Saccharomyces cerevisiae S288C: one gene and its partners. The gene in region 1 interacts genetically with each later gene. Each region holds a gene or a part of one and is shown in the gene's direction. Other genes may lie near its edges. The genes, in order: TPK1, RAS1 and YSA1.

What was found.
Region 2: of TPK1 (region 1) and RAS1, a mutation in one rescues a mutant of the other (synthetic rescue), as found in Saccharomyces cerevisiae (5 studies listed by BioGRID, with this or other methods).
Region 3: mutations in TPK1 (region 1) and YSA1 together harm fitness more than expected from each alone (negative genetic interaction), as found in Saccharomyces cerevisiae (3 studies listed by BioGRID).

What each region holds. Positions count from the first base shown.
Region 1 is NC_001142.9:109,466-113,203, reverse strand, and holds TPK1 (cAMP-dependent protein kinase catalytic subunit TPK1), read left to right. Parts: upstream 1-2,044; coding exon 2,045-3,238; downstream 3,239-3,738. Other genes in the region: YJL163C (uncharacterized protein), read left to right, coding at 1-1,538.
Region 2 is NC_001147.6:513,002-516,673, forward strand, and holds RAS1 (Ras family GTPase RAS1), read left to right. Parts: upstream 1-2,242; coding exon 2,243-3,172; downstream 3,173-3,672. Other genes in the region: alpha-1,2-mannosyltransferase KTR1, read left to right, coding at 1-5; CRC1 (carnitine:acyl carnitine antiporter), read right to left, coding at 294-1,277; OST2 (dolichyl-diphosphooligosaccharide-protein glycotransferase), read right to left, coding at 3,448-3,672. UniProt on the Saccharomyces cerevisiae protein: The S.cerevisiae Ras proteins modulate the activity of the adenylate cyclase catalytic subunit and therefore affect the biosynthesis of cyclic-AMP.
Region 3 is NC_001134.8:460,678-463,873, reverse strand, and holds YSA1 (ADP-ribose diphosphatase), read left to right. Parts: upstream 1-2,000; coding exon 2,001-2,696; downstream 2,697-3,196. Other genes in the region: transcription regulator CYC8, read left to right, coding at 1-1,004; SUS1 (Sus1p), read right to left, coding at 1,295-1,374, 1,445-1,584, 1,665-1,735.

The sequences.
Region 1 (3,738 bases):
CTAATGAAACAGCTCAGGACAGTAGCTATGACTCTATCCGGCGCTCCCCCAGTATTTTGAGTGTTGCCAAAAGCGTTGAGGGAGAGCATGGACGTAGAAAACTATTATGCCTTTACGGCCTTGTTATGATTATCTGTATTGCGGAGTCTATTTCTATGACTGCTACAATACCGTTGGTGATGGACAAGGTAGCGGAAGGAATTTCAGATGAGAATGGACATTATGATTCCGTGGCTGTACAGACAATAGTTTCCAGCATTTCTTCATCCACTATGATGATAGCAGGGGCAATCAGTATTTTCATGGCTGGTAAGTGGGGAGAATTATCCGATAGAATAGGAAGAGTGCGTGTTTTCAAATACATGAGCGGCATCAGGGTCATAGGGCTTCTTACGCACGTCTTTACCCTATCATCGAAAATGAAGTATCACAAATGGGCTATTGTTCTTACTGCGTGTATCGTACCATCATTCGGTGGCTTGTTTGCGCTAGTGGCGAATGGAAATAGTTACGTTTCAGATATAGTGAAAACTGAGCACAGAATGGTGACAATAGGAATAATGATGAGTTGTATATATGCCACTATGGGCGTAGGCCCAATGTTTGGGTCCTTTCTGGTGAAGTGGACTCATGGAAACGGGTTCATTCCTATTTACACATCAATAGCGTTTGTTATACTGGCGCTTATAATATGTGAGACAATCATGGTGGAACCGCGCCATGAAACCCAAATGGCCCATTCACAATCAACTTATACAAAGAGGAGAGAGAAACTAAGATCACAATCGGGTTCTGACGATGCAAGAAATTACCAATCCGTTACTTATGGAAAATTTCAAATAATGAGGTTAATGGACCTGCTCGCTCCAGTAAAAAAGTTATGGCTGAAGCCCGACAGTGCAGGGTCTTTAGTACCCCGGCATACCGTAATATTACTCATTGTACTCGATATACTATTTGTCTGTGGAACGACATCGTGTATGCCAGCATTGATTTTGTTTTCTACATATGAGTACAAATGGCATGCAGTAGAGCTAGGTTATTTCATATCGATACTGGGTATCGGAAGAGGTGTTGTGTTACTGGTCGTATCACCTACATTACTGTACACGCTAAAGAGGATTTATCAACACTTGAACCATTCGATAGACAAGATAGACATCTTTTGCATACAGTTTTCTATGATTGTTATAACACTGAGTCTCTTTGTCATGATACGATTTGGCGAGAAAACTCCCACATCCATGATAATATTCGCTCTTTTACAGGCATTGAGCGCGTTTTGTTCACCAACTTTGCAGTCTGGTATCATAAAGTACACCTCTAAGAAACATACAGGCGAGATGTTCGGAGCAATGGCTTTGGTAAGGTCCTGTGTTATGCTTGTCATCCCTCCCATCCTCCTTAAGCTATATGGAAGTACTGTCTCCGTTAATCCTAGTCTGTTTATGTATATACCGTTCTCAACAAGTATTGTTGCCATCTTGTTGACATTCTTCCTAAGAATTTACAAGAACCCTCCGCTGGACGGGCCTTAAAAACATTTACATACCGTATACACCACATATTTTTAGTTACTTGTTCGAAGCTGTGCTGCTATTCGTTCTTGCAAAGCCAGTGTCCTAACGACTTTGCTTATGACATGATTCAACATAGTGTTGTTGTGGTTTTTTCTACGTAATCATGATGATCTTTTTTTTCGCGCTATTAGGGGGGAGGGAAGGCGGGATCTGGTAAAAGTTTGACATAATAATCAAGGGGGATATCGTATCCCTTTACTTGAAAACTTGAAAAATATTCATCTACTATCTCTGGCCAGAAAAACGTGAGAATTTTTAGGTGCGAAACATCATAGAAGCTGCGATTGTATCCATCTAAGAGTTTTAATTTGATAAAGCTAAGGAATCTGACCCTATACTTTTTTTTTTGTTTGGCTTGCTTGCATTTTCAATCGGCTTCAAAGGTAGCACAGAAAGTAGTGTTCTCTTAGCTTAAGCAGTGCATGAATTATAGCTGATTGTGTGAAAGAATCTTTTTTTTGGGTATGTCGACTGAAGAACAAAATGGAGGTGGTCAAAAGTCTCTAGATGATAGACAAGGTGAGGAATCACAAAAAGGTGAGACTAGTGAAAGGGAAACAACAGCCACAGAGAGCGGTAACGAAAGTAAGTCTGTAGAAAAAGAGGGTGGAGAAACCCAAGAAAAACCGAAGCAGCCACATGTCACTTATTACAATGAGGAGCAGTATAAACAGTTTATTGCCCAAGCGAGAGTTACAAGTGGGAAGTATAGTTTACAAGACTTTCAGATATTAAGGACACTGGGTACGGGTTCTTTTGGTAGGGTCCATTTGATTAGATCAAGACATAATGGCAGATACTACGCCATGAAAGTTTTGAAAAAGGAAATCGTGGTAAGATTGAAACAGGTGGAGCATACCAACGACGAGCGATTGATGCTTTCTATCGTAACACATCCGTTTATTATTAGAATGTGGGGGACTTTCCAAGATGCTCAGCAAATTTTCATGATTATGGATTATATTGAAGGTGGAGAATTGTTTTCTTTGTTAAGGAAATCCCAAAGATTTCCCAACCCAGTTGCTAAATTTTACGCAGCGGAAGTTTGTTTAGCTTTGGAGTACTTGCATAGCAAGGACATTATTTATAGGGATTTGAAACCGGAAAATATCTTGCTTGATAAAAACGGGCATATAAAGATAACAGATTTCGGGTTTGCCAAATACGTTCCTGACGTCACATATACATTATGCGGTACTCCCGACTACATAGCACCCGAGGTCGTTAGTACTAAACCATATAATAAATCTATCGATTGGTGGAGTTTCGGTATTCTGATTTACGAAATGCTAGCAGGATACACGCCATTTTACGACTCTAACACGATGAAAACCTATGAGAAAATCTTGAATGCCGAATTGAGATTTCCACCATTTTTCAACGAAGATGTAAAGGACCTGTTGAGTAGATTGATCACAAGAGACTTAAGTCAAAGACTAGGTAATTTACAAAATGGTACAGAAGATGTCAAAAACCACCCCTGGTTCAAAGAAGTTGTCTGGGAAAAATTATTATCTAGAAACATAGAAACGCCGTATGAACCGCCCATTCAACAGGGACAAGGTGACACCTCACAGTTCGATAAGTACCCGGAAGAAGACATCAACTACGGTGTTCAAGGTGAAGACCCATATGCTGATCTTTTCCGGGACTTCTAATGACTAATGTTTTGTTGTATTTTCCTCTCGTATCTATATTTTTTTTTTTTCATATTTTTTTCCCTCTTTTCTACATAACAACTATCCTTCGAAAACGAAATTTCAACCCCTGTATAGTTACTACGGAGATGGAACGGCGTTCACTGTTCTTGTAGATTGCATACATGATGTTATCGAGGCGTATTCCTACCATTAAAAGGGCTTTTATTCTACGCTTCTGTCTTTGATTTTCTACTTTGCTCGCCGCGCCACTTTCGAAAGCTTGCATCATGAAATGAAGGATTTTGCATATCGATTTTTTTTTTACGTGAGCCCCTTGGTATAAACCAAATAAAGGGCAATTGGTGGCTCCAAACAAGTCGGAATCTCCATTCTATACGTGTATATTTTAGGAAGCATTATAGTCTACGAAAAGATCCATTCTTTCCATCCATTTACTTTTAGAATACAAAGGAGATAGAGAAACTTGCTAAATAAAAAAAAAATTTTGAAAAAATAAA
Region 2 (3,672 bases), on another chromosome or scaffold:
GTTGATTATACTGTAATCAGCCCACGTTGTCTTTGTATTTTCCACTTTTTTTATTTATACTATTTAAAGAAACAGAATAAATTATAACTCTTTTTTTTACATATCACATTTATATTTACTCCATTGCGTTACAAATATGAACGCTTCGACAACAACGCCAAGGAAACCGGGATAACCCAACTGATATTTTCTACCATACACTGAACGAAATTGCAGAACCAAAAAATAACAAAAAGTTCCCAAAAGGAATGCCAGAAAAAAATGGGAGGCAGGTCCACCTAACAAAAATTTAATCATATGCCATACTTCTTGAACAGTGAATGAGTCATCTCCACACCTAAAAATGTGGCCGCATTGGCTGGGAAAGATCTTAGTAAAGCAGGACCTAAACCAGGGAAAAATCCCTTGATACCACCTCTTTGTAGATAAATTTCCTTTGTGGCGGAAAGCATATTCTGCCTCGTGGAGGAAGCCTGCAATTTTGTCTTTATAGTGTCTATGGGGAAAACAGCTAGCCACATCGACATACCAGCAATACCACCAGCAAGACACACGTTCAAGATATTGACCGGTTCATCTTTGCCCGCATCTTGACGAGGTTGCCTACTATTCAAGTAATTTTTTGAAATTTCATAAGATGCAAAATATAGAGCTGAGCCAGGCCCATCTCTTGCTAAAGTGGCTAATGAACCTTTAAATAAAGAAGCTATGCCACCTTCTTTAACAATGGTTTTAGCCGCCTGAATGAAAGAGCCCTTAGAAGATGTTTGCAGGACAACCTTTACTCTTTCCGTTGGCGCAGTCACTAAAGTGGTAGGAATAGCGCTGATAAATCCTGCTGCAGCCATTTGTCCCATAGTTAACTCGTTACTGCCTCCTTGCTTGTTATTAAAAGTAACCAGTTTCTTACCCACATCGTAACCCCAGAAAGAAACAGCGAATATGGGAGTAACACCTAATAAGGGCGGGATAACACCTTTATAGAACCCCTTTACGGAATTGGTAAATAATGTGCCCTTTACTTGAGTTTTTGCTTCTTTTATAATATTTGTAATGGCATGTACCGTGGAATTCGCTTGTCCATTTTGACATCTCACTTTAATCAAATCGAAGGGATGACCCGTAAACACCGCACATACCCCGCCAACTCCACCGGCCACAAATGATTTGATATTTTCGCGTACAGGGTTTGATTTTATAGGTGGACGAGACTTGGTCAAGCTCCCACTCTCTTCTTTCAATAATGAAGATTCTGATAATGAAGTGTCTGAAGACATTACTGACACGATGACGTTTGTGGAGGATAAGAAAGTCGTACAATACGTAGAATCCAAGGAAAACCTGGAATAAAAACACACATAGAGCGCAATTGAATATCGGCTATTTCTACAGTACAAGCGTCTGCCTATATATGCGCTTGAAATATATCTATTTCGACTAAAGGAATTATACCATCATGCATCTTTACTCTTAAATCTCCATTTGTCCACCGACTTATTGCGGCAAGTGGAGATCCAGTCACGCCGGATGACTGGGTGTAGATAAATAGCCGCCCAACTGATCCCTGCATAAAGCTTATATGCGGATATTAGGAGCAGTAACCCGATGACATTAAGCGTGTAGCCACAAGGAACTTCACCATTACTCATAGCAGAAAAAGCAGTGACCAAAAAATGGCAGGAATGACTCTTTTCTGTTTCCCCTCATATACACTGAAACATCTCGATATAAAGCATGCCCTTTATTGTACCATCAATGCAATGTAACGGCAAACGAGGCTAGGAATATGTATTACCCGCACTGAATTGCTTCTTCACTTAGCACACCCTTGATCGCTATGTTCTACGCTGCTACCCGTTCGGTAGGGAGTGGCGGGGAAATTCACATTGGCACAATGTAAACCCGTAGGAAAAAAAAAAAGCACGAAGAAAAAAAAAGAAACCAAAAATATTTACTACATGTAAGTCTATGGACATTTGACAACAAACTTTTTCAACTCATCGCAAGATTATGAATTTTTCACGGCTTTTCAGGTTTTTTCCTCCTTTTGTTTTACATTGAAAGGTTTATATTTTATGTCTTTGTATGGTTCTCTTAATTTGGATTCTTTCTTGTACGGTGTCTCTATTATCATCTGTCTTGTTCTTTCTTGCAATGCTTAATTAACTGCTGCCACAATTGACTTCGGTTTGGCTATTTCACGATTGAACAGGTAAACAAAATTTTCCCTTTTTAGAACGACATGCAGGGAAATAAATCAACTATAAGAGAGTATAAGATAGTAGTTGTCGGTGGAGGTGGCGTTGGTAAATCTGCTTTAACAATTCAATTCATTCAATCATACTTTGTGGACGAATATGACCCTACTATCGAAGATTCTTACAGAAAACAAGTTGTCATCGATGACAAAGTATCCATTTTGGACATTCTAGATACTGCTGGACAAGAAGAGTATTCTGCGATGAGAGAACAGTACATGAGGACTGGGGAAGGTTTCCTACTGGTCTATTCCGTCACCTCTAGAAATTCCTTTGATGAGTTACTGTCTTATTATCAGCAAATTCAAAGAGTAAAAGATTCTGACTACATTCCTGTAGTCGTGGTAGGTAACAAATTGGACCTTGAAAATGAAAGACAAGTCTCTTATGAAGACGGGTTACGCCTGGCCAAGCAGTTGAATGCACCCTTTCTAGAAACGTCTGCGAAACAAGCCATCAACGTAGACGAGGCCTTTTATAGCCTTATTCGTTTGGTAAGGGACGACGGTGGGAAATACAATAGCATGAATCGTCAACTGGATAATACGAATGAAATAAGAGATTCGGAGCTAACCTCATCTGCAACAGCGGATAGAGAAAAAAAGAACAACGGGTCTTATGTACTCGATAATTCTTTGACCAATGCTGGCACTGGCTCCAGTTCAAAGTCAGCCGTTAACCATAACGGTGAAACTACTAAACGAACTGATGAAAAGAATTACGTTAATCAAAACAATAACAATGAAGGAAATACCAAGTACTCCAGTAACGGCAACGGAAATCGAAGTGATATTAGTCGTGGTAATCAAAATAATGCCTTAAATTCGAGAAGTAAACAGTCTGCTGAGCCACAAAAAAATTCAAGCGCCAACGCTAGAAAAGAATCTAGTGGTGGTTGTTGTATAATTTGTTGAAAATGATCCTGCTCTCTTGATATGACATGGTTTTGATTGCAAGTCTATTCTTACTTGTTCAATTGGTTTCACCAGCATCTTTTTGTATCCATTTTCCTATGCTGTGTATCTAGTAAAAGAGTTGCTTGCCACCAAACATTAATACTAATGGTTAATCTGCCACCTTTTGTAAGCTTTCTATAATGTACAATTGTAATATGTTCTTTTATTCTCGTACAAAGTATATATACTATACACATACAAGCATGCATGCAAGCACGCCGGCAAACCCTTCCTCAATTTATAAAATGTAAACAAACGAAATGTAAAATCAAACTAGCAACAATAAACTCGGCAAAAGCTCTGTTTTTAGAAATGCCTGGAAAACTATTACACAATTGTAACCGCAAACTCATCAATAGGACGAATTGTCCCACACAAATAATGAATCCCGCTAAAAACGCATTGAATGGAAAATTATCACGGATCAAGATAATGAATGTACACTGGATCACCCCTAA
Region 3 (3,196 bases), on another chromosome or scaffold:
CTATGGAACATCCGCAAAGCTCTCAACTGCCACCTCAACAGCAACAACTACAATCTGTTCAACATCCACAACAACTTCAAGGCCAGCCTCAAGCCCAAGCTCCCCAACCTTTAATCCAGCATAACGTGGAACAGAACGTTTTACCTCAAAAGAGATACATGGAAGGTGCAATCCACACTTTAGTAGATGCCGCCGTATCCAGTAGCACCCACACAGAGAATAACACAAAGTCTCCTCGTCAACCAACCCATGCCATTCCAACGCAAGCTCCCGCAACAGGAATAACGAACGCTGAACCACAGGTAAAGAAGCAAAAGTTGAACTCTCCAAATTCAAACATCAACAAATTAGTAAATACTGCTACTTCCATTGAAGAAAATGCAAAATCTGAGGTGAGCAACCAATCGCCAGCAGTAGTGGAGTCTAATACCAATAATACTTCACAAGAAGAAAAACCTGTAAAAGCAAACTCAATACCTTCAGTAATTGGCGCACAGGAACCTCCACAGGAAGCTAGTCCTGCTGAAGAAGCTACCAAAGCAGCTTCTGTTTCTCCTTCTACAAAACCGCTTAATACGGAACCAGAGTCATCTAGTGTCCAACCAACTGTATCATCAGAAAGTTCAACAACAAAAGCAAATGACCAAAGCACTGCTGAGACCATAGAACTTTCTACTGCTACTGTTCCTGCAGAAGCAAGCCCTGTAGAAGACGAAGTAAGACAGCATTCTAAAGAGGAAAACGGCACAACTGAAGCATCTGCACCTTCTACTGAAGAGGCGGAGCCAGCAGCTTCCAGAGATGCTGAAAAACAACAAGATGAAACCGCTGCTACAACGATAACTGTAATCAAACCTACTTTGGAAACAATGGAAACAGTGAAAGAGGAGGCCAAAATGCGTGAGGAAGAGCAAACATCTCAAGAAAAATCCCCACAGGAGAACACACTTCCAAGAGAAAATGTAGTAAGGCAAGTGGAAGAAGATGAAAACTACGACGACTAAAAAGTTTGCATTCAAAAAATTAATCTACTAATTTATAATCAACGAGAAATGTTGTGTAGCTCACAATTCATTCATTATGTTGTGGATACATATATAAATAAAGAAAAGGCTAAAAAAAAAGGTGGGTAACGTGAATTAGGTTATTTTTCATATATGCACATGTAAATATATGCGTATATAAATATATTATTATTTGTATCATTACATACTTAAAATCTATTATTGCTTAAAAGGTTTTCCCGATGAGCATATGTAATAATATTGGGAATTAAGGTGCATTTTCGTATCCTTCATTGTGTATCTACAATCTCTTCAAGAAATTCCCTTATTTGCTTTAAAACGGTTTCCCTTGTTGAATCCGATACCATTTCTAGAAAAAAAAATTCCACTGTTAGTAACGTTCTCTTTTCAATAAATTTAGTGATAAAATATTCACATACCTAATGCTTTGGGTTCTACGGTGGATAAAATTTGGGTAAAGTTCGTAGATTCATTTATGTTCATCTCTGATTTGGTCAAATCTTTGACTTTATCCACCCAACCTTCTTGAAGTAGTCTGGCTTTTAGTTCGTTTGAAATTCTAATAAATGTGACGGTGATCTGAATAGTCAGTAAAGTAGATTTTTTAAAAAAGACAACCCCTATAATATTTTATCATACAGTTCATAGTTTCCTGATTCTACAAGATATTGTTGTATTTGACTCTTTAATTGCGCAGTATCCATAGTCATTGGAGTGAAGGCCAGAATTGTTACTTCTGATTTTGTCGCATGTGTTGGTCAAGCCATGCCTATGGCAATTTTCATTTTTTATTTTTCATAATTCCTCATTTTGGTCTTCATGGAGGAAGAGGTCCGGCAAGCGAATACACTTCCGTAAGGGATGGCAAGTACGGCCGTTAGCGGTTTAATACAACGTCAGACAGCCTTCATATGAATCACGTATATATGCTTTTATGATTATTCTTTCGGCATTTTCCTTCCTTCTCATACTTAGATGTTTTTGAGAAACGTAAGAGTTATTTCCCTCAATTCAAGGAGACTATTTAGAACTATGAGCACCGTCAAGGGTAAACCAGAAGATGCTAAAATAATTGAAGCCCGTCACGTTAAAGAAACATCTGACTGCAAGTGGATCGGTTTACAAAAAATCATCTACAAAGATCCCAACGGGAAGGAAAGGGAATGGGATAGCGCAGTCCGCACCACTAGAAGTTCCGGTGGTGTAGACGGCATTGGTATCTTAACCATTCTAAAATACAAAGATGGAAAACCTGATGAAATTTTGCTACAAAAGCAGTTTCGCCCTCCCGTTGAGGGCGTATGCATTGAGATGCCAGCCGGTTTGATAGATGCGGGTGAAGATATTGACACTGCTGCCTTAAGAGAATTAAAAGAAGAGACTGGTTACAGTGGTAAAATAATTTCTAAAAGCCCAACAGTTTTTAACGATCCTGGTTTCACAAACACCAACCTCTGTCTGGTTACTGTCGAAGTTGATATGAGTTTACCTGAAAACCAAAAACCAGTTACTCAATTGGAAGATAATGAATTTATCGAATGCTTTAGCGTTGAGTTGCACAAGTTTCCTGATGAAATGGTTAAGTTGGATCAACAAGGCTACAAGTTGGATGCACGTGTTCAAAACGTAGCTCAAGGTATCCTCATGGCCAAGCAATACCACATCAAATAGATAGCGATAAGTAGTGTTTCTGTATGAAAAATAGGCGAGATGTTAATACCAAAATACAAAGTACCTTTTGCAACAAGATAGTGTCCCATTTATGAATAAGTACATTGAAAAAGAAGGACGTAATGAAAATAACATTCCGTAGGAAATTTGACAAGGCTATTTGCCATCTTAAGTAGTCAGCATTGAGGTATATTTTCCAAAGCGCGACGTTACGTGTTACCAAATTTTGAATCTAAACTAGCCCTTTTCTACTATTTCCACTGATCTACCTTACGATTCTGCAAAAAACTACCATTAATATCTGTTGAAATCAGTGGTAGTGCTCCTTGTATGTCATACATGGTTAGTGTTCCTTGATTTAAGTATTTGGCTACAGCTTGGACATTGCCGAAGGGCGGCAGAACTGTCTGATAATTGCTGGGATTCAAATTAACGATGAGGGCACAACATCACCTACAAGAAATATAAAAGAAGTAGTCCTTGAGGATATATTTATCAAC